Linked DNA regions of Alligator mississippiensis. The protein of the gene in region 1 interacts with the protein of each later gene in a pairwise test. Links are inferred from orthologs where the notes say so. Each region holds a gene or a part of one and is shown on either strand. Other genes may lie near its edges.

Region 1 (10,203 bases):
GCCGCCACCCGCAGCACGAAGTTCTCCACCTCCACCTGGGTAGGGAACAGGTGCATGGGCATCAGCGGGACAGGACCCGCCTCCCCCAGATACCAGAGTCCCCTCCACTGGCATGCCCAGCCTGTCTGCAGAGGAGGGACCTGCCACCAGCTCCCCTGCCCGCTGCAAGGCTCTGCTCAGTGCTGTACTTGCCACCCCTCCCTGCCCGCCCCATACCTGCAGCTGCCCCAGCAGGGCGTGGGTCCGCTCATTGGGGAAGGTCTGGTTGATGCTGACGATGGCAGAGGAGAACTCTGCGTAGCGCCGCGTGATCTAGAGGGGCAACAGGGTCAGAGTACTGCAGGGTTCCCTGCACCCTCCAAACACCCCTGGCAAAGCCTCAAGACCCTCACACCTACACAGCGGGAGTGCACCCAATACACCACAGGCAAAGCCTCCCTCTTCCACCCCACAGGCTGCACGGACCCCAGCCCCTACCCCGAGGCCCTTACATAGAGGGGGCGTGTGTCAAGGAAGCCCAGCTTCTGGGGGTCCATGTTCTGGATGCTCTGGATGTTCAGCTCCAGGATGTACTCAAAGCGCGGCCACAGGATCTCCAGCAGCGTGTCCCAGTACCTACCGGCGGGGGAGGTGGTCAGACACCAGATGCCAGCTCAGCTCAGGGATGAGGGTGGGGTCCCAGTCAGTTAAAGCAAAGCAGCGGGGGGTTGGGACCCAGGACTACTGGGGTCCATCTTCATTTGGAAATAGGAACAGTGTCTAGTGGTTTAGAGCAAGGGAAACCAAGACTCCTCAAGTCAGGATTTGACATGGCCTGTTCACTCTGATCCCTACTGATGGCGCTCCTGGTGCGGCAGAGGCGCTGTGCAAGAGAGAGCTTTCTGCTGCTCATACATGCTGGCACCTTCCAGTGCCAGGTGTCTGTGCCCTGATGCAGCTGGGAGAAGGGGGTGGAATAAGGGCTGGGAGCAGCGGGCTCGCAATGTGGGACATGTCCCCAGGTACTTACTTGTCAACAGCCGGGATGTTGCGCTTGGCCATGATGGCCTTGAAGCGCAGGACGATGTGGATGCACAGGAAGACAGCGATGCTGTCATAGCAGTCGCACACGTAGGCATCCATGTGTTTCTGGGGAAGGCAGCAGGTGAGGATGCGGCCCCCCTGCACCGTGCCCCCTGCCCCAGTAACAGACCCCAGCCACAGCTCCAGCCTGTTGCAACACCCCCCCCCCCACACACACACCAGGAACATGGCAAGGGTCTTGCCCATGACAGTGTTGAAGAGGTCTTGGGCGCTGGGCCCCGTCACCATGAAGAAGTCGCAGAGGAAGAGGTACTCGCGGCAGCTGTTGTCCAGCAGAGCGTAGTGCTGGCTGCGGAACAGCGACTCGAAGGGGTACTGCAATGTGGGGGAAGCAGGGGAAGTGAACCCTGAACCCTCCCTGCCAAGGGTCTGGGGGACCCCCTGGTGGTGACCCCTGCCCTCCCCCACCCCTGCTCACACGGACATCACTCTTCTGGGCCGTGTGTGGCACGATGATGGGCCCCTCCAGCTCGGCCGCCCCGATGACACTGCCCCGATTGCCCAGTGTGAAGATGGTGTTGCGATTCTTCAGCGATGGCTTGGAGAAGAAGCGTGGGACTCACGAGTCAAGGGGAACACCAGGGAGATGCTGCTCCTCCCCCCACCCGACACCTCCCTGCCTCCTGCCCCGTGCCCTGGGGCAGCAGGATATCCTTTTTCGCCGTGTCCTCCACGCCCATCAGGTCATCTTTGTCAGCCACCTCTTCATACTGCAGCACAGATGAACAGTCAGCACCAGGACCCCAGCCCCATCCCGCATCCCACAGGACAGACAGGCAGCCAGGGAGGTTCACCACCACAGGGCTGCACCGTTGCCCCTTGCTTGTAATATGGGGGAGTCTGGCCCAGTCATCCCACTGAGTTCCCACCATACCCCCCAGCCATGTTCCTGCTTGGGCTGGGGGCCCTGCACTCCCCAGCAGCATCGTGTCCCAACCTGGATCTTCATGAGGCGGCTGGTGTAGGACTTGAAGTAGGACAGATAGATCTTGCTCATGGTCTCCACGTACTGCTCCCGCAACTCCTGTGCCACCGCCCGCTCGTTCCCTAGCAAGAACTGGTAGAAGAACCTGGAGGACATGAGGCGAGGGGTGGTGTCTGTGAGTCTCCAGGAGCCTGCCCAGCTGCTGCCCCAAGCTGAGGAGGATGCTGGAAGGTCCCCCTACCCCCAGCTCACCTGTACTTGAGCAGAGCATTCTGGGGAATCTGGTAGTTGGTCATGGGCTTGCGGAAGGAGTAGATCTTCTGCAGGATGAACTCCCGGATCTTGGTCACTGCCTGCTCAGGGAAGCAGAGAGATGTCATGGGAGTCATTGGGCACCATGAGGCTGCTGGAGCCCCCTGCATAAGCAGGGAGGAGAGGAAAGTCCACATCTCCTCCAGGCAAAAATGAACAAGAAAAGGATGGGGAAGACCCCTGACCCATGACCTTCAGGGAATGGTTCCCCCTGGCCTTTAAGCCTAGGTCACATGGGAGAGGGCGGATGGACCCTCACCTTGACCTTGAGCTTCTCCAACACGTGCTGCACATCGGCACAGGCCATTGTCTCACGGAAGGCCTGCTCCTTCACGTAGTTAATCTTGTTGTTGAGCTCGTGCAGCTGCTCTAGGAACTCCTGCTCCGTTACCGGCGCCTCCAGGATGGTACTGGAGGTGGGATAGAGTCATGAAAGGGCAGCCCAGAAGACACTTCCCTCCCCCAGCCCCTGGATTGCCCCAGGCCCCCACACCTGATCATGTTGGCGGGCACAACAAGCTCATCGACCAGCTGGCTGAGCTGGCTGCGCACAGCCTGGCGGTTCTTGAGGCGCAGGTTCATGGCCACTGACTGCTCCTGCAATGTCTGGATCTCCGAGCTGATGCTACTCAGGTCGCACTGGAAGGTGCTCAGCATTTGCTCCATGCGCTGGGCCAGGGCGTCGGAAGAGCAAGTGTCAGAGAGGCCAGACCCTTGTGACCCACCCATCCACACTGGGGCAGAAACCATCTCCCCGCAGCAGACACACACACACACCCCGGATGTCCTGCCAGTCTCCAACCCCAGCACAAAACAACCAGGAGCAAAGGGAAGGTAAGCTGTTCTCACTTCCCTGCCCATCCCACCCCTGCAGCCACCCCCTCTAATGTTCAATTTGTGAGAGGAAAAAGAGAAAGGGGGTGTTTCACCCCTGTAGAAGCAGTGCTGCCAGTGCCTATGAAGCTGTCAGGAGTGGGTGCAGTAGGCCCCTTTCCGGGTGGGGTTGCAGAGAGTGATGGGAACTGAAGGGGGTCTGCTGGATGGAGGGCTGTATGTGTATGTGGGGGGGGGTGTGTCTCACCTCCAAGATGGTGTCACAGGCAGTGATCTGGTTGTGCAGGGAGGCAATGTTCTTGCTCTCTTTGATGTCTGTGGGATGACCAGGGTCGTTCAGGAAACCAACAAGGAAGTTGGGGGGGGGACTGGAAAGCCAGCCCCAAGATACAGGGAGGGGGGCGGGGTACCAGAGACATAGCGGAGCACACCCCTCCCTCCAGGTGGAGCCCCCTGTCTGCAGTGCTGGGGATTGGGCAGGGGCACAGAAGACCCCATCCCAAACTCCCCCGGGCGGGGGTAACTGAATCCTCCCCCCTCCCCGCTTCACGCTAGGCTCAGCAGAGGGTGGTTGAGGGCATCTGTGCGCCTCCTCCAAGGATACAGTCCCGGATGGAGGCATGCTCATTCTGCTGCAGTTCCAGCTCCACCTGCTTGGAGTACTGCCGGAGGTCCACGCCCTGCGCAGGGGAGGGGGTCACACAGGCCGGGGGGGCTGGCCGCAACCAGGGAACAGCAAGGGAGGAGGTGGCAGCTTACCGTCTTCAGCGCCTCCTGCACCAGGGCGTCCTCAAGGTTGGCTTGGATGTGAACTGGGGGTGAGGAGCGGGAGTCAGCGCTGGCCCCACCCCACCCCCCTCGCTCCCAGCGCCCCCCCGCGCCCCCACGCACTGTCCACTTCGTCCAGGATGAACTCGTCCGAGGTGAGGTCCAGGTCCCCCAGGTTCAGCGGCTGCTCCTCTCCGCGCCCCGGGGGCTGCACAGGGGGGAAGGGGGGGTACAGCTCAGCCTGGGCCGGGGCTGGGGCGCAGGGCGAGGGGCAGGCAGCCCGAGGCCTCACCGTGCCCTCCTCCTCCTCCGTGTCGCCCGCCCGCAGCCCCAGCTCCTCCGCTGGCCGCAGCGCCGCCATCGCTGCTCCGCCCCGCCCCGCGCCGGCCACGGGAGCACTTCCGGCCTGGTTCTCCACCGAACTACATCTCCCAGACAGCACCGGGGAGCTGACCGGAAGTGCACTATTCAAGCCCTTTCCGAGCTGGAGTGCGGCCGGCGGCCGGAATCCGGCACCCGGGGGAAAGGAGCCCTAACGACGGTTTACAGCCTCCGGATCCCTGTGGGGTCAGGTTTCCCACCCGGATGCCTTTTACTGCTACCCCCGCAGGAAGTCACTTCCGGATATTCACACCCAGCCGGAAGGGGAACAGCCCCGACCGGAAGCCGCGGAGCCCCTTGGGGGGGTGAATACCGGGCACTGCGTCACTTCCCCTTTCTTTTCCGGACGGGGCTGGAGCGGAGCGGAGCGGGCACCATGGTACGGCCGGGCGGGGGCGCGCGGCGCATCGGGGCCCATCCGTGCTGGGGCGCGGGGCACTGCGGCTGCGGGGCGGCCCTTGGGGGGGACGGGGCTGGGGCTTCGCGCCCCGCGTCCCATTTTTCGGCGGGGCCCCCGGGGAGGGCGCAGGGGGCCGGGGTGGTGGAGAGCCGGGGGGCAGAAGGCCGCAAGATCGCCCTTGACCTGCTCCTGCCCCGCGCAGTCGCTCGTGATCCCCGAGAAGTTCCAGCACATTCTCCGCGTGCTCAACACCAACATCGACGGGCGGCGCAAGATCGCCTTCGCCATCACCGCCATCAAGGTGCGGGTCACCCGGCGGGGGGGCTGCGGGTCCGTCCCTGGGGTAGGGGCTCGTCCTGCAGGATCCTGGCAGGGCTGGGGCAGACCCCCTCTCCAGAGCTGAGGCCTGTATTTACGCTCTCCACTCGCCTGCAGGGCGTGGGCCGGCGCTATGCCCATGTGGTGCTCAGGAAAGCAGACATTGACCTGACCAAGAGGGCCGGGGAGCTGACGGAGGATGAGGTGAGGAGGCCGGGGTGAGGGTGCGGTGCAGGGTGCTGTGGGGTTTGGCTGCAGGGAGTGGTGCTGGGGAGGTCTGCTGTGGGGGGTGGGGAGCCCCGGCTGACCTTAGCTTACAGAAACCCCCTTTCCCCGCTTGCAGGTGGAGCGCGTTATCACTATCATGCAGAACCCCCGGCAGTACAAGATCCCCGACTGGTTCCTCAACAGGCAGAAGGACATCAAGGATGGCAAATACAGCCAGGTGAGTGGCGGGGCTCCTTCCAGGCCTGCCATCCCCCAGGGCTCGTGACCGGGGGCTGAGCCTGGCAGGGGAAGGGACCGTTACACTCAGGATGGCTCGTGGGGCTTTTATTTTATCTGGAGAAGAACAACAGAAGCCATAGCTAGCTCCTCTGATTAACAGTTGTTTGATAGGGATGTTATCAATGTGGCTAAGAGCAGTTACACGTGTCAGACAACATGTAGACACTTGCTGCAGGGGGAGATAAGGTCTCGGGCTTCCACGATCCCCTCCTAACGGCTGGGGGCAAGTTCCAGACTCTCACTCCTGTGGCTTGGCATGGGGGAGTTGGATACGGTTCAGGTCTGTGGTCTTGCTCATTGCTGTCGGAGATTGAGCTTTTGACTGAAGGAGCAGGGAAACTGAGTTATGGCCTGCCACTCGTTCTTTCCTGGGGTCGCCTTATCCGCACAGGGTGTGACCCTGGTCTCCACATCTCTGCTCTCGAAACTGTCGCTTAACAGCTGCCTTCTTTTGCGTGCTAACGGCTGAGATTCATACTGAACTGCTTCTGGGCCCTAAGGATCTGTGCGGAGGGATGTAGCGACCTACCCAGCACCGCAAAATGGGGTGGGAGGGGGGCAAGGTTCAGGACTCTCCAACAAGGGGAGAGCACCAAGGGTCTGAGGTATCCCAGACACAGGTGAGCTCCCACGTGGTTGTGGTTCTGGGAGCTGTGGGGCCTGTCCTTGGTGCTCCCCTGCCAGCAGCCCACATGTGTGTAGTTCAGCTTCTCCCACATGGTGGGGCCTGGGCTGGCTGACCTCAGCCCCAGCTAGGCTGCATCTCTGACCTGCTGCCTCTTTGCCACAGGTGCTGGCCAACGGGCTTGACAACAAGCTGCGTGAGGACCTGGAGCGGCTGAAGAAGATCCGGGCGCATCGTGGTCTGCGTCACTTCTGGGGGTAAGTGGGGCTGGGGGATGGGGCGTGGCGCTGCCCACAGAGGCAGGGTGGAGGGCAGAGCGGGTGATATCTCAGCTCTGACCGTTATCTCTTTCCTTCCACTGCAGGCTACGTGTGCGAGGCCAGCACACAAAGACGACAGGCCGCCGCGGCCGCACTGTGGGTGTCTCAAAGAAGAAGTAACCTGTTCCCTGTGTATGTAATAAAGTGCTGTTCTCAGACCTGCCTCCCTTCTCTCTCTGGAGGGATGAGTCTGGGGCAGGGCTGGTGGGAGAAGCAGGACGTGGGGCTGCTGTTCTCTTCTATCCTGGGCAGGGAAGTGTGTGAGACAAATGATAGCAGCTACCTGACAACCCAAAGAGTTGATCTTTGTCCCTGTCTCCTGGGCTCTGAGGGGTTCACGGGCAGGAGGTGCTTATGTGAGGTTGAGGTGGGGCAGGGGTGTGTGCAGGGACTCGGTGTGCAAGAAGGGGAAGGTTACACTGACACTTGTCAATGGATACGGGGTGGCTGTATGGCCCAGGCAGGTGAGTATTTTCCGGGACTAGGAGGCGGGCAAGGTCTCACTTTACAATGTGACTGACGGGTCCCATTTTTTCATTTTCACCGACACACTTCTGGGATCTTGCATGAAGACACCAATGTGGCTCCCCTGATCCTGCACCTGGTCCCAGCCCTGAGGGAATCCCTGTCACAGCCCGTCCCTCAGGGTAGAGGGTGGGCAGGGACTGGGGCAGGGCTACGGTCTCCCTGTTGCAGGAGCTGTTTCAACCTGGCCTCTACTGCTGCCCTGCGCCCCACACCAAGATCATTTCTGAATCCCTACGCTCGTAGCATTGCCCACTAGAAGGACCATCTCCAAATTCTCATCCTTCATTTACGGATCCCTGCAGCCCCCATGGGTTTATCACTTATTTTGTGTGCCCCTCTCAATGTTGCCCCCTGCCCCCTCTTCCTCTGTTCCGTCTTTTGTATTGAAATCACTCTGCATTTGATCTTCTGGTCCATTCTAGTCCTTTCATAGTAGTGATGAAGTGAGCATCTCTGCTTCAGTTAGGTGCCCAGATGCTGCAAAACGCGGCCCTACTATACCTTTCTGAAACAATGGCTTGTGTGTTGGGGATGGGCTCAAGGCCCCCTTCTAACCTGGTTCCCAGGGGCTCTAGCCCCAAATACTTCTATGCTCTCTGGCCTTTCAAGGCTCATCCAAAGGCTGTAGGAGTTGACAGCAGCTGGATCAGTGGGATCTGCACCAGAACTAGGGTTTCTGCAGGACACTGTCCCCAACAAACCTCTCCAAGCTCCTGCTCAGAGTCAGGAGTTGGATAGTCCTGTCTGGTGCGTGGTGGCAGCCCCAGGCCTTGCACCAAGAGTCCTCTACAGCCAGGAGCTGTCATCAGGTCTGTTCTGGGGAAACAGGCACAAGGGTGAGTGGGGAGCAAAGTGACTCAGCTGAGGTCCCAGCAGGGCCTGGTGCCTGGGCCCCCTAGTCTGTGCTCTGCTTTAGTTCAGACCAACCATGGTAATGGAGGGACCCCAGGAGCCCTGGACTGCAACAGATTTGGGACCAAAAATATGTCGACTCCTGAGTGTAGCGAGTGCCTGGAGTGGTTCCCACCTGACCTGACCCAGCACCAGTGCCCTCAGCAGGTACCTGCTGCTCCTGCTTCTCGAGTCCCTGTTGGGGGAACCCAGTTACCTTAAGCCATGTGGATGCACCGCCCCATCCTGTCTGGCCTCCAGTCTGTGGGTGCCAGTCAAGAAATGGCTGCACCTCTGCTGGGGCTGCCTGTGGGGCACACTTTGGGGGTGTCCTGGGGCTGGGACGGGTCTCACAGGTTGTCTTCTCCAAGCCCTGCACAGATGCAGGCTGGGCAGTTCCTAAGCTGTTCCAGCCAGACACCCTTGAGGCCTCCTCTTGCAACCCCCAAGGAAGGAAACATGACTTCCCTGGCAGCTCGTCCCACCTTCTATGGACTGAGAGCAGGGCGATTCTCCTGATGTTTAGTTTGACTCTGACTTGCTGCCATCTACCCAGCAGCTCCCTGTCCTGGCCTCTGCATCAGGGTGAACTGGAGCTCTCCCTCTTCTTTAGGGCAGCCTCTCCAGGAGTTGAGGCTTGCTGCCAGCACATTCACACACGCCCCCCAGCCCATATCCCTTAGTCTCCTTTTCCCAACTACGCCCACCTCCTGCTCCTTTCCGGCCCCTTCCACATCTTTGTCGCTCACCTCTGGATCCTCCCAACATCTCCCCAACCTTCCTGCACTGCAGTGCACAGAGCTGTGCTCCAGCTGGGCCTGACCAGCGCTGGCTGACCTCTCCTGGCCGTGGGGGTGGGTGGGGGGAATGACAGGCATACCTTGATAATACTGTCACACAGGTCCCCCTTATTTTTCCCAGCTGTCGGGATCTTAGCTCACTACATCCATCCCATGGCTCTCCCTACATTGCTCTCGAGTCCCCGTGTTCCTTTCTGTTCAGCTGCTCCCCGCTTCTCCCAATTGTTGCATTCACGCTGAGCTCCTGCCTGCTGTTGCTCCAGCCCTGTCTAGGCTGCTGTGACCATGTAAAGGGGCCTTGCAATGAGTGAATCCTCTGTCTGTGTCAGGGGCTATTCCAGCTAGTGTGTGGCCCTGCATTAGCCCTGCTCCTTGCACCTCCCTTCACCACTGTAGGGAGTGTGCCAGGGGCATGGCAAGACCACTGTGCTGGAAGCAAGCTCTGCTTCCCAAGGGGCTCTGAAGATGGTCTACTTTATGCAGTGAGCTATGGAGAGCCATGCACCTCCTTAAAATCCAGGAAAACCCAAGGGGACTTAAAAATAGCTCCAGCCAACCCAGTGTCCTCAAAGCAGGAGGCAGGGAAGGGGAATCAGGCCACTGCATTGTTACCACCGATCATATCCATCTCTCTGCAGAGGGCTCTGGCTTCAGACTCTGCCCCATGGACTGGTTGCTATGTGGGGACAAGTGCTACTGGGTAAGTCTCTGCAAAACCAAAACACTAGAGCTGTGAGGATTGCACAGCCAGGAGCTACTGGGTGCTGCTGATCCAGGACAGGGAGAAGCTGGTGAAGGGAATGGCAACATCCTGCAGGGAGAGGCTTTGGGAGGACTGGGGCTTTCACAACTCCCAAAGTGAGTGGGAGGCCCCGTGCATGTGAGGAGGAAAGCTGTGCCCAACTCCCCTGGGCAGCTGTGACATCCTCACTTTTCATGAAAGACTTGACACCAGCTTTGTGACACTCATAGATCGGCCTATCCATGCCCTACCCAGAGAAGGACTGGGCCTGGCTGAACTGCTCTGCTATCACGCCAGTCCTGCGAGTGTTTCTTATTCCAAAACTAGCTTTCTCTGTCAGTAGAAAGTGGCAGGGAGTGTGGGAGATTTTGGAAGAACGCTGCTGAGAGGCGGAGGTCGGGAGGCTGGGCTTGGCCATGGGAGGAGCAGGAGTCAGTGAGGAGGTATGGGGAGCTCAGCTTCATGCAGAGGAAGGATGTGGGTTATGCAGCGCTGCTTGGGCCAGCACTGGACTTCCTCCTCCTGCTGCCCCACCTGCTGCTGTGTGCCAGCCCTGGCTGTGGTGAGGTTTGCCTTGGCTATGAGGGGGCAGGTGACAGTCTGATGCTGTGAGTGAGGCTGCCCTCATCGTCACCTTCTCAGCCACTGTCCTCCTCTTTGGGACCTGGGCACTTCACTGTGCTGAGCAGGGTCAGGCGATCCAGCTCAGCCAGGTGATGCTGGTGCCTCGGGACACGCACTGCAAACCTGTTCTGTTCCCACGGGGGCT
Region 2 (10,310 bases), on another chromosome or scaffold:
ACACAGCCTGGTGTTTGGATTCTGTCTCAATGGCCTAAGGGGGTTACGAAATGTCTGGGCAGCCTCCACTCCTCCACAGTGTTGCCTAGGCATACATGTTGAAGATCTGGGTGACCTCCCACACACACACCATGATCCAGAAAGATTCAACACAGGCCTATTAAACGTAGGACAAGAAAAACATAACATTATTCATTACCAGCTAGTCTAGTTTTGTCCATTTAAGAACCCAAACTTCAACACCCCCCCCTTGGTATTTTTCCATGATTAAAATGAAATGCCACTATATATATCTATAAATTTGTATCACTTGAACACAATATTTTATTGATATATTAATAATTTTATAACAATTTAGAAGCCTACTAGTGCCTCAATCGTCATGATGAAATAAATTCTAAATGCCTATACATTTTGGCATTTGATTTCGTTTTTTTTTTATTATGGAAAATCAGAACTCCCCCTATCCCCTTCACTAAGCAGGATGCGGGTCCAGCTGCAGCTGTCCCCCCCACAGTCTTGTGGTACCGCTGGTGCTCTGATCCAGCCCTTACTCCCAAAACACAGTCCCCCCAGTCCTGCTTGTGCTCCTCACTCCCAACCTGCAGCCCCTGGCCCTACCAGTGCCTCTCACTGCTGACCCACAGACCCCTGGCCCCCCTAGCCCTGCCAGAGAGGGCCCCCCACTGCTAGGGCTACAGGACCATGCTGCTCACTCTCTGCTGCATGGGCACCAGCTGCAGCCAGCCAGCAGCACCTGAGCCCCAGCTGCTGTGTGGGAAGCAACAGCTTGCTGCAGCCAGTGTGAATCACAGACCCCACTGGCCCCCTGCTTCTCTCTGATGGTGGCACAGCTGAAGCGGAGCTCATGGGGAATGGGGGAGTATGTGGGCTCCCTGCTGCAGGGCTACATGCCCTGCTGCCCTCCCCCAAGAAACCTCCACAGGCCAGCAGGCAGGACCCAAAATGGGAGGGCAGAGCAGGGCAAGAAGCCTCAATGTTGCCACTGCCATGAGCCCTGTGCTAGTCATGCTGCCACGGTGAGGTGCCCCCTGCAGGCCCAGCAGCAGCAGGGGTGGTGGTGGCACTGAGGAGTTGCGCCCCTTGCCCTCCACCCCAGCAAGGAGGGGGGCGCCTCATCGTGGTGGCATGGCCAGAGCAGGGCTCCCGGCAATGGCAGCACCAAGCCTCCCCACCCCACTTTGAACCTCCTGCACTGGGTCCCGCCTGTTGGACTGTGGAAGCCAGGGGGAATGCAGCAGAGCAGGGACCCCTGAGCCCATGTGCCCTCCCCAACGCACTGCCTCTGGTACAACAACCTGTCCCTGGGAGTGCACACACAGGTGAGAAGCCAGCCTTCCTCTTCACCAGATGAGCCAGCTGTGGCTCTGTTCCACTCCCCCAGCAGGCCCTGCAGTTGTGCATTCCGCCCTGGCCCCAGGCCCTGCGCACCACCCCAGCTGGGTAGCACCCCCAGCCCCCAACTCTGCCCCATTTCCCCCCTCACCATGGGGGCCTCAATCTGCCCCTCCCATTACCTATGACCTCCCCCAAGAGACTTACCTGCAGGCAGCTGGGGGAACTGCTCTCCACCACTGTCTGTACTACATGCGGCACCCTCTGAGTCTTGCTCCCCCCAGCCCCAAGCAGCCCCTTGTAGGCTGGAATTCTCTCAGCCATCAAAGGGAAACCCACAGTTTCCCACGTTTTTCTCCTTTAAAGGAGAAAATCTGGGTTTTTCTGCGGCAAAGAGAACACCCAGATCTCTGTTCATTACAAAACCAATTAACCTACTACCTGAACCACAAAAGGAGAAAAACAACACAGAGAAGTTTCTGGATTTAAAGTTAACTATGAAAAGTCACAACTCCTAGACATTGGTATAGGACCAGATCAATGAAGAGAGACAGTTATAAATATAAACGGGTAACTACTTCATTAAAATACCGAAGGGGGAATACTACTAAAAAAAAAAGACAGGACTTGTATAGCTACAATTTTACTCCTTTGATTGAAACAAGATTCTAAAACAGATTTATAGAACTGGCCAAAATATGAAATTTCATGGTTAGGTAGAATTACAGCAATTAAAATGAATGCTCTAGTCTAGCTTGCTTTACTTTATTATTCCAAACACTACCTATTGTAGTGCCAACAAATCTTTTACATGAGTAGCAGACTATGAAAGATAAATTTATTTAGGGAAATAAGAAACTTAGATTTAAGAATTCTATCCTGAAAAGACTTCAGCAAAAGGAGAAAGAAATTTAAGCTTCCAAACATTAAGCATTACTTTGGTAGAAAGAAAAGTAGGGTTCAAAGGGACTTCCAGAGGTCTAGTCCAAGCTCCTTGAGGCTGGATCATTACATACCATCCATTATCTAACCCATTCCTAACTCTACACAAATCAACCTTGTCACACAACTGCAAGGCAAATTGCCCAAAGACATCAAAAGCACCCTACCCTACCACAAGTGAAATAGAGAGACAAGTCAGTGTCTAACTGCTGCAAGGATGTTAAAATGCACTCAAGAGAACTAAGAAAGAAGGTCAAGCCCCCACTACAGAGTAAATTGACAACATTTTGAGTAGGTAATTTTTCACAATTACTTTTGGATATTTTTTTTGGACTCTTAATTGAATTCAAACTCAGCATTATTAAAAAAAAAGACAGATGCCAGAAATCTTGTGCCCAAGCATGTTAAGGACCATAACTTACTGCTAACTCTTACCTTCTCACCCACTCTGCATATTAAAGATTCTAGTCTCTCTTCAATTTCAGATGGCTCGGATGTTCTCCTCCTTTTATGAGTTTGCCCTGTTTCAACATATTAATAAAAATCAAGAATAAATGTTAAAATTATTCCTTGCTTAATTTTTAAGAGTTTGCTTAACGGTTCCGTCAGTCCCATTCTCATTCTAATTTTTTACTACACCAAGGACACACGACATTACTACTGTTATCCAAGACAGACCAAATAAATGTTAAAATTAACAAAGACAACATTTGTACTTCTACACAAATCTTACTCTTCATACAATGCCCAATTTTGACATCTTATTAGGAAGTAATTTCACAATGCCAATAGCAGCATATTATAAAGCTAAAAAAATGACTGGAGAATTAACTTTATTAATTTTATGTTCCCCATTAAGCATCCCATTGTGTTCTCTGACACCTGTGTTAAAATGTGATGAACCTTGAGCAAGGGATTGTATCATAGATCCCTTTAAATGTATTTACACTTTTTTAATTTGGGAAAATGACTAGACACTTGAGACTCTGGCAAACTAAAAAAAAAAACGGAGACTTATTAAAAGGGTTTAAAAGTTGAAACAATGATTTGGAATTCATCTCTGCCAGTAAAAGGTAAAAAACCCAAGCAGTAAAATAATAAAATTCTGCATGGGTAGAGAATCTACTATTAATTCATTTTTAATTATATATGCCCAAAGTGCTGAACCTATTCTATTTTTTTCCTACATACTGTTATGTTGTTCATGTCACTAATATCTGAACATACTCTAACAGTGCTTTAAGCCAATGTTGCCATTCTGTCTTCTCCTGAGGTAGTGGTGGGAGGAGATTTTTACATAAAGTTAGCTCATCTTGTTTTATTTCTTAAAGCATACATGTCATTCTGTCCATTTGACAAGCCAGGTAGAATGCACTTTGTCTTTGCAGCAGAAGGTGGTAAGGCTGATGCTAGTCCTCTATTCCCGAGGAAGTTAATTCCAGACTAGAATGCACTCCCTGCACAAACATGTTTTCCCATTTGGGCAGAAGATTCCACCACACCAGAACAGCAAAACTGTCAACAACAGTCTCCCCAGAGCCGTAGATAACACTTTAGATGTACTGACTCCAAGCAGCTGAGCACCTTGAAAACATGAAAAGTGACCTAAACTTGATTTTATGTTATAAAGAAAAAGAGCAGAGGGCCAATCCGATGTCCCTACTGCAGCCTACATCACTGAGGAAATATTGCAGCATTTTTACTGTTCAGATTTCCTAAATGCTGATGGCTTATTCCTCAAGTGTACAGTAAACCTGATGGGAAATGACAAAAAGTGTGTAGAATAGACTGGGGTCACTGTCTGCCAGGACAAGATGATGCCAAGGCAGCAAGAAACAGTCTGTGACAGAAGGATCTGTGTTCTTGCACTCCTCACCAATACCACAGACTGAACTGACCAGTTACTATGGTCATCTTTAACCAAAGAAGGCTGCACACTAGCTCTTGGTCATGTTTATGTTTAGACAGATGCTGTCCATCTATAACTGATTTTGTGCAGGCACTGGGATACCTTGGTAATACTGAGATGGCTGTATAAAAAGGTAAAAGTAGAGCAGTTAGTCATCTGCATATGGCTAGCACTTGTAGTCAGTCTATCCAGTAGCTGCACATGGAACAGAACTCCAGGATATCAGGCAGACTACTAGTTGCTATGAGGGAGAAGATCCATGTGAAATAGCACACTAGTTTTTTGCAGTGCTTGTGGCTGGATTCTGTTGCAAATAGTACCAACATGCTGTGCTAGTCCATATCACTCCTTATAAAGGAATTTCACAGTTTCAGAGTGATAGGAAGCCTCTTTTGGTCTATAATACAGCTTCACAGGCTAACAGAAACATTTCACCCTTTGTTTCTGCCTTCTCTGTTCATCTAATGTAGCGTCAAAAATCAAAATCTAGGTGGACAATGCGTACGTAGACAGCCACTTTTAAACAGTATACTGATGTGCAAGGCTTATATACAACAATAATTTGCCAGATCCACAGATCCTAAGTAATACTGCATGAATGCTTCCCTATAACATCATAGGCCAGGTGTCAAACATGGCCCACAGGCCAGGTCTACCCTACACAGCCATTCTACCTGGACTATGGGACTACCAGCAGTTGGACCCCCAGAAGTTGTGGGTCATGACCAGGGGAAAGTGGGCAGTGGGAGGCCTGCTGCCAAATCCATGGACCTCAGGACATGGTGACTGAGGCAACTGGTGACAGTAAGGTGAGCAAGGGCTCACACAGCCCCAGTCACCCTCTGCATGTGATGCCTACCTGCCATGCCCCTGACTCTCTGGCCATTGGTCCCTGCCCCATGCCCCATACTGGAGCCAGAGATGCTGCTGTGTACCCCAAGTCCGAGCAACAGCTACCACCACCACCATCATGTGCTCTGGGTCAGAGTTGGAGCTGCTGCTTCCTCATGACTTGGGCTGGATACAGCCCAGAGAATGCTGATCCAGCCCAGGACACGGGAGGAGTTTGACCACGGTTAGAGGCAGTTATGGAAGACAGCAGAGCTCCACATCGGAGGATCCTGCACAGGGTCGCAGGAGCCACAGCACTGCCGATGCAGATAAGATACATTAGGAACGATATGCCAACCAGAACTGCTGCCACAGATGTTACCTCCCACGTTCCTTTCCTGACATGCACTTAGCACCTGCTACTTGACAAGGAACCCCAAATGGCTGACAGGCCCTGGCCCCTGCCCCACACCTAGCAAACCATACAAAGCCCTTGGGAACATAAGGTTCGCATTCGTTTCCCCAAAGTAAAACGAGACGCGGCCACGCTCCCGGCACGGGACCGAGAGCAGCACGCGGCCGACACATTCACCCGCGCGCGGATCCCAGCGCCTACAGCTGGTCGCAGGCAGATGCCCAGGCCGCGCCGGGAGGCTCCCCGCCCCCCGGGCAGGAAGCGCGGGGCGGCCCCGGGACCCTGCCGCTCCGCGCTGCCCGGTTGGGCGCCGCTACCCGGGCCCTCACCATCGCTGTCGTCGCTGTGCCTCCTCCGCGACATGCCGGGCGGCGGGGCGGCACCGGGGACCGTGAGCGGGCGGGCGAGAATCTGCGCGGAGCGAAGGCCGCAGCGGCAACGGGCGCTTCTGGCGCGCTCTGTTCCCCCTCCCCACTTCCGGCCGGCCACAAGCGCCTTCCGGGGCAAAGGGCGGGGGAAGAGGAGGAAGAGGCTCCGCAGTAGCTTCCGCCGTCCTCTACCCAGCCCGGAAGTGGCTCAGGCGCTACATGACGTGGGCACGCGAGACCCGCGGGATATCTCGGCCCGGACTAAGAGTTTAGTAAGTGCTGCGGTCGCCGTGAGCCGGCAGCCTGAGTCGGCGTCCGAGTAAAAGCCACCTTCTCCTGGGAGGCCCAGCCCCTCCCCTCCCCTCCCCTCCCCTCGAGGCTTATGTCTCCGTGGACTAAAGTGCGCCCGGCCCGGCCGCGGCACTCGCGGCGGTGCCTCCCCGCGGCCTTCGGCATTTGGTCGAAGCCAATGCTTCGGTCTCTCCGGAGGGCCGGCCGGGGCCGGGCTCGGGCTCGGGCCCGGCCTCCTCCACCACGTCTCCGCGGGGCAAGTTCTGCGCTGCGGCCGAGGCTGCCTCGGGCCGGGAGGCAGTTGGCGGCGCCGAGGGCTGCCAGGGGTGCAGATGAGAGACAGGCCTGCAGCCCTGCGCCTCGGGCCAGGCCTTTGGCCCAGGCCCTGGCTACACGCTCTGTATGCTCTGCGATTCACTGGTCAGTTGCACAATAAGTTTAGACCAGCTGCAAGTGTAAAGTAATTGTCCCACCATAAAAATGCCCCTGGCTACAAAAAGAACCAACCAGCAAAAAAGTTCTTGAAAATGGGTGATATCTGTAGCTGGTTTCTATCCAGCTTTCATTTGAATGTACAGCAGCCCCTGAGACGCCAGAGGACCTATTGCAGGATAGCAAGGGGGGACACACTCAGTGGAGATGGGGTATCTGCAGTGACTCGGCTCAGGGAGGTACCCATTGTCTTCTGCGCTGACAACAGACTTGCCTGTTTAAAACCATCTCCTAACCTGTTTGCTTTACGTGGCCCTCGCTGCGAACACCTGGTACGTAGTTTGCATTTTCTGGAAATCTGCTGTGCCACTGAACTGCTACCTGCCTGGTGGAGGTTCAGGCTGTGGGGGTCCTTCTGAAAAAGTTTCACAATAAGAGAGAGAGAACACCAGACACACCCAGAACCATGTCCTGGTTAAGAGTTCTTAACGTTTTTCTTCACCCCATTCCCCCAGCATGCTATAAAACCTCCATGGCTTGCCTCACCTATACCTGGATGCAGAGAGTGGGACTTGGTGGCCACTCAACTGAGCAGCAGCAGTACAGAGCCTCACTTGCCTGCCCACAGCCACCACCCAGAAGATGGAGATGGTGGGGCAAGCCCACTCCCACCCCTTCCTTGGGACTTGCCTCAGCCCAGGGGGACTGGGCCAGGCAGACCCTCTGAAATGTTCTCATGGTCCTCCAGGGGGATGCTGCCCCTCTGTTTGAGAGCCAGTGTTCCAGATGCAACATCTATCTGCCTAGTTCATTGCTGCATCTTGTGGGTTTGGTTGACTTGTATTGATAGTTTCACCACTGGGATAAATGCCTTGCAGCTGCTGTTTTGTTAGGAAAAAATGGTTGCAAAAAGGTTGTGAATTGTAAATAGTTCCTCAACCAAAGCATTTCCAGGATGAAGGGTGTGGGGTTAGACATGCTTCCTTCAGTAGCCAAACTCAGCAGAATTAGCTTCCTGCAAATGAGAGCAGAGGGAACAGGAGGCCTATAGGGAGGAAGAACTGTACCTTCTAGCATCAAACTCTAATCCCCTGTGCAATAGTTGACCCACTGATCCATCACACAGTTGTAAACTGGCCAGGATTTTTAAAAAATAGTTATTGTTTAGGTTTAAAGCCATCTGGCAAAATTAAAGTGTGGAGGGGACTGCACAAGTCTCCTGTTCACTACTTAGTCTGATATTTCTGCTCTCAGTTATTTGATGCTGGGGATCTTAGGACAGATCTTTGATTACTTCTTCCTTGAAATTTGTTGTATATTCTTAAAATGTTGTCCTAATAATAGGATAGAACTTGCAGCTTGCTCACTCTTTTGCTGTTGTAAGACAGTGACAGTAAAAGACTGCAGAGAAATATTTTTTAACAATGAGTTTCTTTTCTTTTAAATGTATGTGTGAAACTGAAATAATGTTACTTAGTGTACATACTAAAACGTTGTTTGCACCTTTTTTCTTTAGGAAACTTATGCCTAGCTCTGGTGCTGTAGCAATGATTTCCTCCTCGGAGCTGCTGGCTGGAGAAGATGAAGTGGAGTCTTGTGTATTAAAATTTCCAGAGCTGGATCTGAAAGAATCTGTTCCTCTCACATCCAAACCTAGGCTGAAAGTGGAATTAGATGCCAGTGTGAGAAAGAAGTATGCATTTGCAAAGAAGAAGGTATGTTTTCTCTCACTTTATTACATATGTTCATTTTATGTAGCACAGAACAATATTCCTTCATTAGTTTGAGTGACTAAATTCATAGAATCACCATTTTGTTCATACCAATTGCCTTACTTCTTGTTATTGTATTTGGCTGTAAATTAATTTGTTGTCATCACATTATTTAAATCAGAGCTGTCCAACTTCTAAGCAGCTGGGGACTGTATGCCCCATGGGATGAGTCAGTGGGGGCTGCACTAGCAGAGGCCATGGGCCCCCTCAGACTGCACCTTGCACACACAGGTGGGTGCTCCCCCAGCCCACTGCACTGTGAGTGAGGACAGGTGATTTCTTTACCCTGTTGTACTGTTTTCCAGGTGGGTAAGTGCTTCCCAATCCCATTGCACTGAGCACACGGACAGGTACTCATTCACCCCACTGCACTGCATGCACAGAAGCAGGTGCCCAGCCTCACCTGCAGCTTTTTGCAGGCTCCTTAGTGGCATCATGCTGCACAGATGTTCCTGGGGCTGCTGGCTTCCCTGGCACCATGGGCTGTGCCATTTTGTGCTGCCCTGCCCTGCTCCCAGAGGCTGGGTTAGGCAGTGAATACTAGTCCTAAGCCCCTGCTGCTGCTGCCGCCTAGAGTGAAAAGGGCATGGGCAACCAAGTTGTGGGAGGGGAGAGAGAATGAGTCCATAAATTAACTCCTTGTGGGCTGCTAGTTCAGGAGCCCTGATTTAAACTAAAGGAGTCAGCAGTGTCATCACCATTTATTTACTTTAAAGGACTGACATGATGTGAAGCCATGACTCAGCAAAGCACCTGAAATCATAGATAAATAAGACGGAAAAGGGCTTTAGCGGTCAGCTAGTTTAGCCCCCTGCTCTGTGCAGTACTTAACCACAGACTTAACTTTAAGTGCTTTGCTCAACAGTGTGGGATTGAAATATGGTGATATATATTTGAGGACTTTGCTGATATCTGAAGAAGAGACTTCACTGCATTAAATTGGTACTGCAGGATAATAACTTCCTATTGCAAAAAAGATGTAAATACAAATTCAAAACTAAGTTTCAAGCCTAGAGCAGGGATTGTCAGCCTATGGCTCCCACACCAGATCCAGTTGAAGGTCAGACTCGATTCAGGGCAGCACAAGGAATCAGGCAGAATGCAGCTGTGCACAGCTGTCTTTCCCCTCAGCAGTTTCCTGCTCTGTAGCCTTCCCTGCTGTCTCCTACTTGCACTTAACCTCATTGCAGTGGGGCCAGGTATCTGCTGCTATACCCCACATGTTGCATTGATCAGTTACAGCATTTGTTCAGACTTAACAGAGATGCAAAGAACAGCAGGTGGTTAATTCTTCAGCAGTGATTTGAGTGTGAACTTCCATTTCAATATGGATTGCTGCCTGGGGTAAATGAAGGTTATTACAGTTTTAAGTAGAGGTGCACCCATATATCAGTCGCATTTCGAATCAGCACAGATAACAGGAAAATTAACATAATTGGTAATCGGCTTTTTTTGGCCAATAATATCAGGGATAAATGCTGCGTGCATGCATGCATGCAGCTGTGGCATGCACACAGCCGGGAATGCAGCCCAGCAGCTTGGAGATCAGTGTCTGGCTGTAAGTCTGTGGGCGAAGGGGCATCAGGGGAGAAAGGGGGTGTGCAGATTGAGGCCCCCATGGTGAGGCAGGGAGTAGGACAGGGGCAGGTGCTGCGCAGCCAGGGCGGTGAGTGCAACTCCACTGGGAGTGGGACAGAGCCATGGGAAGCTCATCTGGAGGGCGCATGGGGTGGGGGGTGGTTCCCTGCCGCTGTGCACACCCCTGAGCAAGGCATGGGGGGCATGTGCCCCCCTGGTTTGTGCACAGCATGAGGGCGAGCTGCCCATTGCGGGCTTGGGGTCAGGGGCTGCACCAGCCTCTTCCTGGTGGTGGGGCTGGGCTGGGGCTGCACTCCAAGCAAGTGCGGGGTGGGGCGGATGGCAGTGGCACTGGGAGGGGGGCTACGGGCTGGCTATGGGGAATTTTGGGGTGGCTGTAGCCACCCCTCCCAGTA
Region 3 (10,827 bases), on another chromosome or scaffold:
AAACATTTGTCGCTAGAGGGCATATGACATATAGGAGATGGTTCTGCTAGTAAGAAGTGGTTATTTCCTTATTCAGTTTTCAGAGCATTACTCCTCTTTAAATTACTTGACAGTGTCACACTAAAGTATTTCAGGGAAATGCAGGACCCATCTTCAAAAATATTTAAATCAAAGTGTTTTGTCACAAATTTAAAGTCACACTTCATTCTCTAGGACTTCAGAAACTGAAGAGATGCTACATTTCGCTTGTTCTCCTTTTCCCTCCCCCCCCCCGACCATTCCACCACACTTGCCTTGCAATGTTCTTTAAAGATGTCCAATTCTGTATTCATTAGTAATATGCGAGGGGTATAATATAGTCTGAAGGCTGCCAAATTGTAGGCACAGCCCTTGATAGGAACACCAAGGTAGTAAATAGAATACTTCTGGATTTGTTCATGCAACAGTGAGATGGACAGAGGATAATTCTACAAGTGCAAAAAGAAAAGATTTGCCAGCTTGTTTATTTAACCCTACAGAATAAGTTCAAGTGAGCTAATTAGTTGGGCAGAATGAGAGTGAACCAGGTAAATACAAGAGTGTAGTATTAATTCAGCAAAGCTCTTAATATTCCTCCTGCCTTCATATTTTCTGTCCCTTCAAATTACAGGAGATTTAAAAAAAAATAAATAAATAAAATTTTAAAAAAAAGTGTAAAAAAGCATCAAGGTCTATCATTTATTCTAGTGTTTCTTTCAAAAATGACAAAATCTTCAAGGTCTAGACTATTAGTAACAGGTACATTGTTCTGCTGAGTAAGGCCCAATTTCAGTTACAGCTTCTTGGTCCTATGTTAGTACAAATAAAATGCAATGCAACATTCATTCTACATTTTTTTTTTTTTTTTTAAAGTTTGCTGTTGCCCCCTCCTCCCCCCACTCATGTGCAAACAAAAGTATGCAATGGAGAATAGGTATAGATTTCTCTCACCACCTGTATGAATATTCTGTGCCACATTTGCATAACAGCTGACATGCAAGGATGGAAAAAAAAAAAAAAAAAAAAAAAAAAGTATTCAGAGTGAAAGAGGAACACCAGTAAAATAGTCCCACAAGTTAAATGCAAAAAGATACTTAAATATTTTAAGATGCCATTAAACATTTTACTTCCAGGAAGCACAATAGTGTTGCAACATTAGTAGTTTTATACTTCTACAGTATAGTGTTTCCTCCCCCCCACAGTTGTTCAAGATGTATTAGTGAGATCAGATGATCTATTTAAAAACAAAAACCCAACAAAACTCTCTCTGTGCACCTGCTTTTCATGGCAAAGTTGGGAAATGTACTGAATAAATCACATTGTGGCCCTAAAGAATCAGGAAGTATGCAGCACCCACTATTCCAAGGTGGGTCCCAGAAAATTACTAGCCAAACACAAACTTACTTAGCTTCCAAGGTCAGTCCAGTTCTGTGGACTATGGTTATTGACAGTCTGAGTACTGCTTTTAATCTCCTCAGCCTGTTATAGGTTCTATGAATGCTGGACCTGCACATTAATCCAATTATCCTACTGCTAAGGAGCTTGAGCATGAACACTTCTTTCTTGCTTAGCTTTGTTTTGCTTTTAATGTTTCAACATGGAGATCAATTATAAAAACAAAACATGTTAAAATACTTTCTAGGCATAAAAATCATTCTTTTATTGACATTTTAAAATGCATCTTAAAGGTTCTGTTACTATTATTCTCCTGTTCTCACCTAATCTCCTCTTCTTTCTGGTTCCTCAGTTCAGCTGGTACTACCCCTTTTTTGTGCCTGGTGTTCAGTTTCATACAGCACCTACTGGCTGCCAGATCTGACAAAGCTAGAAATGTCATTATAAATAAAAGTACTTGAAGGGGATGGTTGGATTCACTGAGCAGCCAAGAGGGGAGCTATTGGGCTCTGAGCACACCTTTGCTACGGTTGAATCATATGGCTGGAAACTAGTGTTTTAGGAAGTGTGGCTATGTACCTTGGACGAATTTACAAATAAGAATAGCTGGGCCCAGTTAAGATTGATATGGCGCCATCAACCATCATGAATTTTGACCACACGAGTCTGGCCCACAACAACAGGTTTTGTTTTAGAATCAAGAAATTAAGTACAAGTTTTAAATTCTATTTTGGATCCTGAATTTGGGGTCCTTGAATTGTATGTTGTTCATGTGTCTAGGCTCTCTCCACTACAGCAGTAGTAAATGGACTAGTTTTAATGCAGTAACATGACCCCAGAGAGTAGGATTTTAAGAAATGAGACTCAGGAAGACACTGCAAGACAGGAAGGTAATTGTCTTAGCTTAAGTAGACCATGAACAGCTGAGAAAGCAAGAAGGGAAAAAAAAAAAAAAAAAAGCAGCCCATCAGCCGGGGAAGCTTCCAACAGAAAGGGGTGTAGGGATAAGCCTAGAATGCCTACCTGGAGCCTTCAGACAATGAAGCTGTGGAAGAAAACAGGAGGAGACAGGCTAGAGGGTTTATTTTTTTGTTTTACTTTTTTTGTTTAAAAAAAAAAAAAAAAAAAACCATCACTAAAAGAGGGGGGAGTTTGACAGTCTCCCATAGGGGAGGTGGAGACACAATACCCTTGTCATTACAATTACTGGCCAGCAAGGAATTACACAGCGAAAGCTATCACAAAGAGAACACAGAATTAATAAGAGCCCAGATTCGAGTTCACTATTTTAAGGCTCTCTCATGCCAAAGAGAAGTTGGCTGAAGGAATATCTTAGGCTAGGTACAAACATTAAGTTTATCACAGGTTACACATGCAGGAAGTGCTCTACAGCTGTAGCCAAACAGATGGCCACAGCACAGAGTGCCCAGTTGTGTCCCCCCCACCCCCAGCACAGCTGCCACATGACCTGCATGGGCCATGTCAGCACGCCCCCCCCCCCCCCCCCCGATGACTTGGGCCTCAAGGGAGGCAGCCCAGGACAGTATGGTTTGATTACAGCCATGATGGGAACCAATGCCCTGGGGGAAACTGGGGAGCCCCTGGGAGAAAGAAGGGCAGGGGGAATTGCAGCCTATAAGCCATTACTGTGGTCATAGCCCCCTTTCATGGAGGTTTTGGCCAAGGCCAGAAAGGGGCTGGGGTGGGAGGGAGGAGTCATCCCACCCTGACTGTTCACAGTGCAGGGCACCAGGCCTCTAAGTGCTCAAAAGGCTTCTATCCTTCAGCACTCAGAGCAGTAACTCCCACCCCACCATCCTGAAAGGCAGTTGAGGCACCTAGTTCCCTTGGCCACTTATCAGCCCACGTCCCATTGTAGTGAGACACAGCAGGATCTCTGGTGGCCCAGGCATGAATGACTGGTGCCTCCTGAGACCAGGGGGAGGGTACCATAGAGGCAAGAGGGGACCACCTGCAGTCAGTCAGTGGCAGCTAGCAAGGACTGCCCACAACTACCACTGGCCACATCAGCAGCAAGTGGGGGACAGGTGTGGATGGTAACCACCCACAGAAGCCAGCAGCAGCCACAAATCAGGGGGGGGGGGAAAAACATGTGCACCCCTACATGTTGCCTATAGGCCTAGGTGAATGCCCAGGCTCTGGTAATCTCTCAGTTTTCACCTCCGGGTTTAGAGTCTCTCCCTTTTCCTCACCTGCCATTTTTTTGGTACAACTTTTCCCCCCCCCCCTCAAAGAGTTGGGAGGCTGCCTCAAATCCCAAGGAATCACTGGTCTGGCTCTTTGTTCTCATAACAGCTTTGTAAGTTAGCACCTTAGGGCTCTGACTACACTCTAGCTAGGCCCATACCTTGCGCATGTTAACAGTTCATCATCCTGGGAGAAGATCCCTCAACCCCAGGCCAGTATCTCATCTAGTTTCTGGTCTCACCTCCTAGGATTTGGGTCTGCCCCTTCCCAGGTCCAGCTTCCTTTCTAAAGGGTGTAGCACTCACCCCTCAAGGCTCTTCTCTCATCCTTCCTGGGCTCCCTCTTCAAGGGTTCTAGCTTTGCCCTTAGGGCCCTGATAATGCCCCTTTAGGGCCCCAGCTATGTTCTTCAGGGCCTTGGTCTGTGCCCTCATCTTTAGACTGCAGCCTTCCTCACCCATGTTCTGAGCCCAGCCCTCAAGAGGGCTTGTAAATTTCATATACCCCTTTGGCACCTCCACCCCTCCTGCCAGTCCCAATCCCAGTCCTTGGATTATAACAATAGGAAAAAGTCAGGCCTCAGGCCATAAATCAAATCAAGCTCTCTAGCTACATAAGAAAATCCCCCCCCTCTCATAGTCAACTCTCAGTTCCTTACCAGCATGCATGCTACTACAGTGCCTTAGCCATTGTAATACAGATCTCCTTCCCTGGTTGTCTGCAAGATAACCCCCTAGGTCCAAACCCTGAGTTTATATGTAGTTGAGGCTCTGCTCTCCTGGTCTTGTGACCACCCAGCCACCACAGGTGCTTCTCTTTAGGCTAACTGGCTGGTCTTCAGAGGTGCTTTCAGCTGTTGGGATAGAAGCTAATGCTCTACTCTCTGGCGTTACTGTGCTGCAGCTAGTTTTGCACTGGGCAGACCACTGTACTAAGCAGTCTCTGCCCAATTGAACTATTTCAATGCCACTACCTCCACAGTAGGCACTGTCTCAGCCTAAGGTGCTCAGGTAGCTTGTTCTGCTACTCTTAGCAAGAAGCCTGGTCCCCCTGGGGTTCTTTTCACTGCTAGCTCCTTCTCAGTAATAACAGGGAGTCCCTGGCATTCAATGAGAACATAAATCTGCCTTATTGACATCCCCCTCTCCCCCCTATCTTTTAAGGCCAAGCTGATCTCCTGGAAGAAGTGAGTCTCATTGCAGCTATCCAGAGCAGTTGTGTGGAACCACCTCTCTCTCCTCCCAAGCACGGAAGGGAAGGCACTGAAAGCGTTTATTGAGCTCCCAAGGCAAAGTGTAAAAAACAGTTACAACTGCAGGTATATGCTGCCCTGCTCCAGTTGCCATTGCCACAGGCTGAGTTGGCAGAGAGCACCCCAAGGTCAGGGTGCAGTTGTGGTACAGCAGGAATGAAAACAGTTCACCCTAGCAAAAAAAGCTCCTAGTCTTTCCTAACTCCCTCTCTCTCTCCTTCCAGCTGCCTCCTGGAATATTCTCAGTAGAGGAGCAGCGTTGTAAAGCCAGGGGCAGCCCATGGCAGGGCTCTTCTTATGCAGCTGGGGTCTGGGGAAATTCTCTCTGGGTCAGGTCACAGGCTGAGCAGTAAGTCAATAGCAGCAGCAATAGCAAAGTCTTCCAGAGGGGGTGTCAGCTCTATCCAATGTTGAATGGCAACCCAGAGTTCCCCAGTGTGCCATCACAGCAGATGACCCCTCTCCAGCTGTTGAGATACTCCCAGGGGACCATGTTGCAGGAGCACAGTGTATTGCCTGGAGTTCCCCCAGGAGAACCAGAAAAGCTAATCCCTCAGGGCCTGGCTGACTCTCACCAGGGGAATATTGGGAGTGTAGACCCAGTTCATCAGGGATGCGGGGCTGAAATGTCTCCCCAGATAGGGAAGCATGGCAGTGACGTACCGATACGGGGGGGAGGGTCCCCAGGTGCAGGGCTGTGGGGGGTGCCGACAGGCCACGAAACTGGAAGGGGTGGCAGTGGCGCAGGAAGCACTTCCAGTTTCTGATTTCACACCCCTGCCTCCGATTGGCCGCTGTAGGGGGTGCCTCCCCTGAGATTGGCCACCACCGCTGCTGCTCCCCTGCCGCAGGCATGGCCTTAGGTTCCTACAGTGGTGGGCACGCTGAGCTACCGTGCACACTCGCCGCCAGGATCACAGCTGGCCCAACACAGGCATTGGGCTTGGAGGAGGGCAGATTGAGACCCCCAAAGTGCAGGAGAGAGTCACGTAGGGGAAGGGCGAATCATTCACCACTACCCCTGGCCTGCTCCCTCCTTACTGTGGGGATTGTTCCACGACCCAGCCCAGCCCCCATTCACTGTGACTGGGGCCCCGGCCTAGCCCATTCGTGGTTCAATCAGAGCCCAGAGGCTCCTCCAGAGGTGCGGCACTGGGCAGCCAAGGGGTGGGGGAGGGCACATGGCCCCCTGATCTTTGCATGGGTGAGGGTAGGCCACAGCTGCGAGCTGGGCTCAGCCTCTGCTCCATGTCTCCGTGCCTTGCTGCCACCGCTTCAAATGTGGTGGGTGCCGCTCCATCCCCTCCAGCCCGGCAGGCAGCTGAGGCTGGCCCTGCTTCGGGACCTGGCTCTGGGCACCCCCCGCAGCCAGTGCGCAGCCAGGGCTGGTGCATCCGGGTCAGGTGCCGGGGTTGGGAGACAGCCGAAGCTAGCACGGCTAGTGCTGGTGCAATGGCCTGGGCCAGTGTGGTCAGGATGCTGCCAGGGCTGGGGCCGGTGCGGCCAGTGCCAGGAGGCAGCCATGGTTAGTGTGGCATCTGGGGCTGGCGTGGCCAGGGCTGGGAGGAAGCTGGGACCAGGGCTGGGGCTGGGAGCTGGCCGGGGCGGTGCAGTGCTGGGCAATGCTGCTTCCCTTCTTGGCCCTTTCCCCTCCCCCTTCAGACTTTTCCATGGGGGGGCGTGTGCGCGCGCATGCACTTGTGCAGACTCACCCCCTTCAAATTTTGTTTTCTTCCTCTGCCTATGCCCCTGCATCTGGCTGCTTGCTGCCACTGCCTTCACATCTGGCTGTACGCCACTCCCGCCTGCCGCTGCCACTACCACCACTGCTGGCTTCTTCGGGGCAGGGGGCCCCAAGACTATTTCTTGCAGGGGGCCCCAAAAATGGTGGGCTGGTCCTGATGCCAGCCATGGAGTCTGGGGGGAACTCTTCTGTTGTCCGTGGCTCCACTCTTGGCCTAAGTCCTGTTGTAGGGGATCAGTGCAGCGTTGGTGGAGATAGGCAGTCCCAGGGGTCAGGTCGGCTGCAATACAGGAGCCTCAAGTGTACTCAGGGGCCATCTGGACTCCTCAAAGGGAGAGACTGGGTCCTGGGGCCAGGGAGCCCATGTTGAAGAGCTAAAAGTCCACTGTGGTGAAGCCACCCATCACAAAGCCCCCACCCCCCAAGCAACAGCTGCTTCCTGACTTGCAACTCTCTCAGACAGACAGTGGGTCTGGGATCACACACCTGTCCAGCTGCAACATTGGAAAAGTCCTTGGTCTTCACTTCTGAACCTTGAAAGCAGGATGCTAGGTCAAAAGCCACCATACCCCATGCTTCCACTCCAAGGTTTTGTGTTTGAGTTCAGCCCCTGTGGTATTCCCCCTGACATCTCCCGCCCACCCCGTCCTAACTGCCCCTTCCAGCCAGGTTCTCCTGCCCACTGCCCCCTCCGAAGGTTTGCTGGTTTGTATGAATTGGGAAAAGGGAATGAGTTCTGCCATGGGCAACATTCAGCAGGTTTTCTTTATTAAACACATGAAAAATTTGGTGGCAAGTTTCTTCCTGGTGCCACATTCCCCCGTACCCTGGTGTGTGCCTAATGTGGGGAGGGAAAATTGGGGAGGAGGAGGGGAAATGAAACAGTGTCCAGGTACCATTGTGGCCAACACTGCCCAGGATGCAGGGCTGAGGAGCCTAGGGCAAGAGACCCATGCCATGGTGCCAGGGCACAGGCACTGGCCCTACTTATGTGGGAAGGGCTCCTGGTCCACAAGGGTGAGGAAGTAGTCAGCCAAAGCTTTGCAGATCTGGACAGCCTGCTACTGTGCAGAGCCGGGGCCCACAACATCAGCAGGGGGCTTGCCATCTCCTCCATCCCTGTGCTGCGTGTACCTACACTGCCAGATCCACTCCACACGCTGTGCCTCCTCAGCTCAGGCCTCACAGAAAACCTCCCCCTGGTCTTGCAGATGTTGTGAAGGACACTAGTGGCAATGATGAGTTGCATCAGGTTTCCCTAGTCCACCTCAAGGCACATGCTGAAAGTCCACTGGCATACCTTGAGGTGGCTGAAGGTGCTCTCCATCATCATGCAGCACCTGCTCAGGCAATAGTTGAAGCGCTTCTTCCAGCAGTCCAGTTGCCCCCCATAGAGCTTTGTCAGTCAGGGCTGGAGGGGGTAGGCAGGGTCCCTGATGAGAAGCAGTGGGACAATTATGTTAACGATGATGAGTCCAGGGGCCCCAGGAGTGTAGTGCCTGCTTTGTATCAGTCCAAGGTGCGGGGAGTGGCAAAGGACCTGGAAATTGTGGGTGCTGCCTGCCCAGCTGGTGAAGATGTGAGTGAAATGGCCTCAGTGGTCAATGACACCTTGCCGGACAATGGAGAAGTAGCCCTTGTGGTTGGTGAACGTCTGGGTGGCCTGACCCAAGCACAAGATGGAGATGTGGTTGCTGCCCATGGTCTCCAAGCAGTTGGGAAAGCCCATGCAGTGGAAGCCAGTGACCACCTCTAGTGGAATGATGAGGCAGATGAAACAGTTGGCCAAGTTGTCCTGGATGACCTGGCACACCTCCCAGATGTCCTCTCCAGCTGTGGTCCTGACCATACTGAACTGGCTGACAGGAAGCAGTAACTGATGGGGGTAGCCAGCTTCATGAAGGCAATGGCCACCAGCTTCTCGAAAGTGAGGGGTGGCTGCATACCAATGTCCTAGCGCGTGATGTGTGGGGACCAGCTGGGCGATGACATTCATGAAAGTAGGCCAGTGCATGAGGAAGGTCTGGAGCCACTGTTCCTTGCCTTAGGCAGGGCTGTCCCTGGGGGGTGGCAAATCAGGGCAACCGCCCCAGGCCCCACGCTTTGGGGGGCCCTGTTGAGCCAGGCGGAGCAGTGCGGCGACTCCGCTCTGCCTCCGGCTTCATGTCTGGCCACTCAGCACCCCCCCAGTCCTTCTCCCCACGGTTGAATCTGCCACCGGCTTCCTCATGTCTGGGTGCAGGGCCCCGCACAGGCTGATTTGCTCCGGGCCCTGCACCCTGCTTGGATCGTCTCTGGCCCTAGGTGCCCAGAATGATCCACTCCCACCAGTCACTGCTGGTGGCGCAGGCCCAGAACCAGTGCTCGATTGTCTGGAGGTGGTGCCAGAGCACCCCAGCATCTATGGCATTCTGGAGTGCCTCATCTTCATTGGTTGCATGAAAGTCAGTGGCCCTGGCCACGATGCTTGTGGTGCAGGGTGCGGTGGGTGAGCATGAGCGGCATGGCCAACTGGTGGCTGGTGAGTATGAGGGCATGTGCCATGACAAGCTGCTGCAACATCAGGTTGAGGTGGGTGTGCATGATGTCTTGCAGCCTCATAGAATCATAGAATCATACAAGTAGGGTCGGAAGGGACCTTGTAGATCTTCAAGTCCAACCCCCTGCCTGGGAAGGAGAGAAACTGGGCTCAAGTGACCCCAGCCATGTAGGCATCAAGCCGCTTCTTAAAGACCCCCAGAGTAGGAGCCAGCACCACTTCCCTTGGAAGTTGGTTCCAGATCCTAGCCGCCCTAACTGTGAAGTAGTTCTTACGGATGTCTAATCTGAACCTACTTTCCAACAACTTGTGGCCGTTATTTCTTGTTATCCCGGGGGGAGCTGGGGGAAACAAGGTCTCCCCCAAACGCTTCTGGTCCCCCCTAGTGAGTTTATAGATGGTCACAAGGTCCCCCCTCAGCCTTCTCTGGTGAAGGCTGAACAGGTTCTGGTCCCGTAGCCTCTCAGTGTAGGGTCTGTCCTGCTGTCCCCGGATCATGCAGGTGGCCCTCCTCTGGACCCTCTCAATGTTGTCCACATCCCTCTTGAAGTGGGGCACCCAGAACTGGACACAGTATTCCAGCTGTGGCCTGACCAGTGCCACGTAGAGGGGGAGGATCACCTCCTTGGCCCTACTTGAGATGCACCTGTGGATGCATGATAGGGTCCGGTTAGCCCTGCCGACCGTGACCTCGCATTGTTGGCCCACGTTCATCTTGGAGTCAATGATGACTCCAAGATCCCTTTCTGCCTCCGTGCTCTCAAGAAGGGAGTTTCCCATCTTATAAGCGTGTTGCCAGTTACTACTGCCCAAGTGCGGCACCCTGCACTTGTCCGTATTGAAACGCATCCTGTTTTTGTCAGCCCACCCTTGCAACCTATTCAGGTCTTTCTGCAGTCTTTCCCTCCCTACTAGCGTGCCCACCTCACCCCAGATTTTGGTATCATCAGCGCATTTGAACAGGTTGCTTTTCACCCCATCGTCCAAATCACTGATAAAGAAATTGAACAGCGCGGGCCCAAGGACCGAGCCCTGGGGGACTCCACTGCCCACTTCCCCCCAGGTCGAATATGACCCGTCCACCACCACCCTCTGAGTACGACCCTTCAGCCAATTAGCAATCCATCTGACCGTGTAGGCATCGATGCCACAGTCACCTAGTTTTTTAACAAGGATGGGGTGAGAGACAGTGTCAAAGGCCTTGTTGAAGTCCAGAAAGACTACATCCATGGCGACACCTGCATCCACTGCTTTTGTGACCTGATCGTAAAAGGCAATCAGGTTGGTCTGACATGACCTGCCCCTAATAAAACCGTGCTGGTTGCCCCTCAGCATCACCCCTGATGCCGGCCCATCACAGATGTGCTCCTTGATGATCTTCTCAAAGAGTTTCCCCAGGATTGAGGTAAGACTGAGAGTTGAGGTAAGACTCCCATGAGAGTTGAATAGATCAACCAGTACAACCCACCCTAACTCCTGGGTTTCCCTGCTTGGGTGCAGGTGGCAGGATACCATGGCAAGTTGCAGGCAGGTTGGGATACAGAGACATATGCAAGTCACAATGGTGGGGTGGGGAGGGGGGCATGGGAGAGGGTCCACAGTAATGTGGCAGGAGTTTGGGTCATGGTGGCCCATGACCAGCAGCCAATCAGGGTGGCTGGCCCATTTGGCT

Evidence for each region. The genes of interacting proteins can lie anywhere in the genome.
Region 2: the proteins of VPS52 (region 1) and TSTD2 interact in binary tests that used the Homo sapiens proteins (3 or more experiments, as listed by UniProt). The two-hybrid records come from large-scale screens. The link is inferred for Alligator mississippiensis from reciprocal best matches to the Homo sapiens genes VPS52 and TSTD2.
Region 3: the proteins of VPS52 (region 1) and WTAP interact in binary tests that used the Homo sapiens proteins (3 or more experiments, as listed by UniProt). The two-hybrid records come from large-scale screens. The link is inferred for Alligator mississippiensis from reciprocal best matches to the Homo sapiens genes VPS52 and WTAP.

Annotation. Positions count from the first base shown.
Region 1 is NC_081834.1:64,783,072-64,793,274, forward strand, and holds the start of VPS52 (vacuolar protein sorting-associated protein 52 homolog), read right to left. Parts: upstream 4,468-10,203; 5' UTR 4,284-4,467; coding exon 4,215-4,283; intron 4,131-4,214; coding exon 4,046-4,130; intron 3,967-4,045; coding exon 3,914-3,966; intron 3,835-3,913; coding exon 3,759-3,834; intron 3,470-3,758; coding exon 3,402-3,469; intron 2,990-3,401; coding exon 2,814-2,989; intron 2,731-2,813; coding exon 2,580-2,730; intron 2,362-2,579; coding exon 2,261-2,361; intron 2,154-2,260; coding exon 2,021-2,153; intron 1,794-2,020; coding exon 1,736-1,793; intron 1,636-1,735; coding exon 1,502-1,635; intron 1,399-1,501; coding exon 1,243-1,398; intron 1,129-1,242; coding exon 1,010-1,128; intron 616-1,009; coding exon 492-615; intron 313-491; coding exon 217-312; intron 36-216; coding exon 1-35. Other genes in the region: RPS18 (small ribosomal subunit protein uS13), read left to right, coding at 4,680-4,682, 4,906-5,004, 5,139-5,225, 5,365-5,466, 6,319-6,410, 6,518-6,593. UniProt on the Homo sapiens protein: Acts as a component of the GARP complex that is involved in retrograde transport from early and late endosomes to the trans-Golgi network (TGN).
Region 2 is NC_081826.1:152,925,625-152,935,934, forward strand, and holds the start of TSTD2 (thiosulfate sulfurtransferase/rhodanese-like domain-containing protein 2), read left to right. Parts: upstream 1-5,983; 5' UTR 5,984-6,093; intron 6,094-6,142; exon of another isoform or gene 6,143-6,876; intron 6,877-8,060; 5' UTR 8,061-8,067; coding exon 8,068-8,259; intron 8,260-10,310. Other genes in the region: NCBP1 (nuclear cap-binding protein subunit 1), read right to left, coding at 2,734-2,819, 5,783-5,816.
Region 3 is NC_081824.1:137,732,407-137,743,233, forward strand, and holds the start of WTAP (pre-mRNA-splicing regulator WTAP), read right to left. Parts: upstream 4,328-10,827; 5' UTR 4,289-4,327; coding exon 4,279-4,288; intron 1-4,278. UniProt on the Homo sapiens protein: Associated component of the WMM complex, a complex that mediates N6-methyladenosine (m6A) methylation of RNAs, a modification that plays a role in the efficiency of mRNA splicing and RNA processing.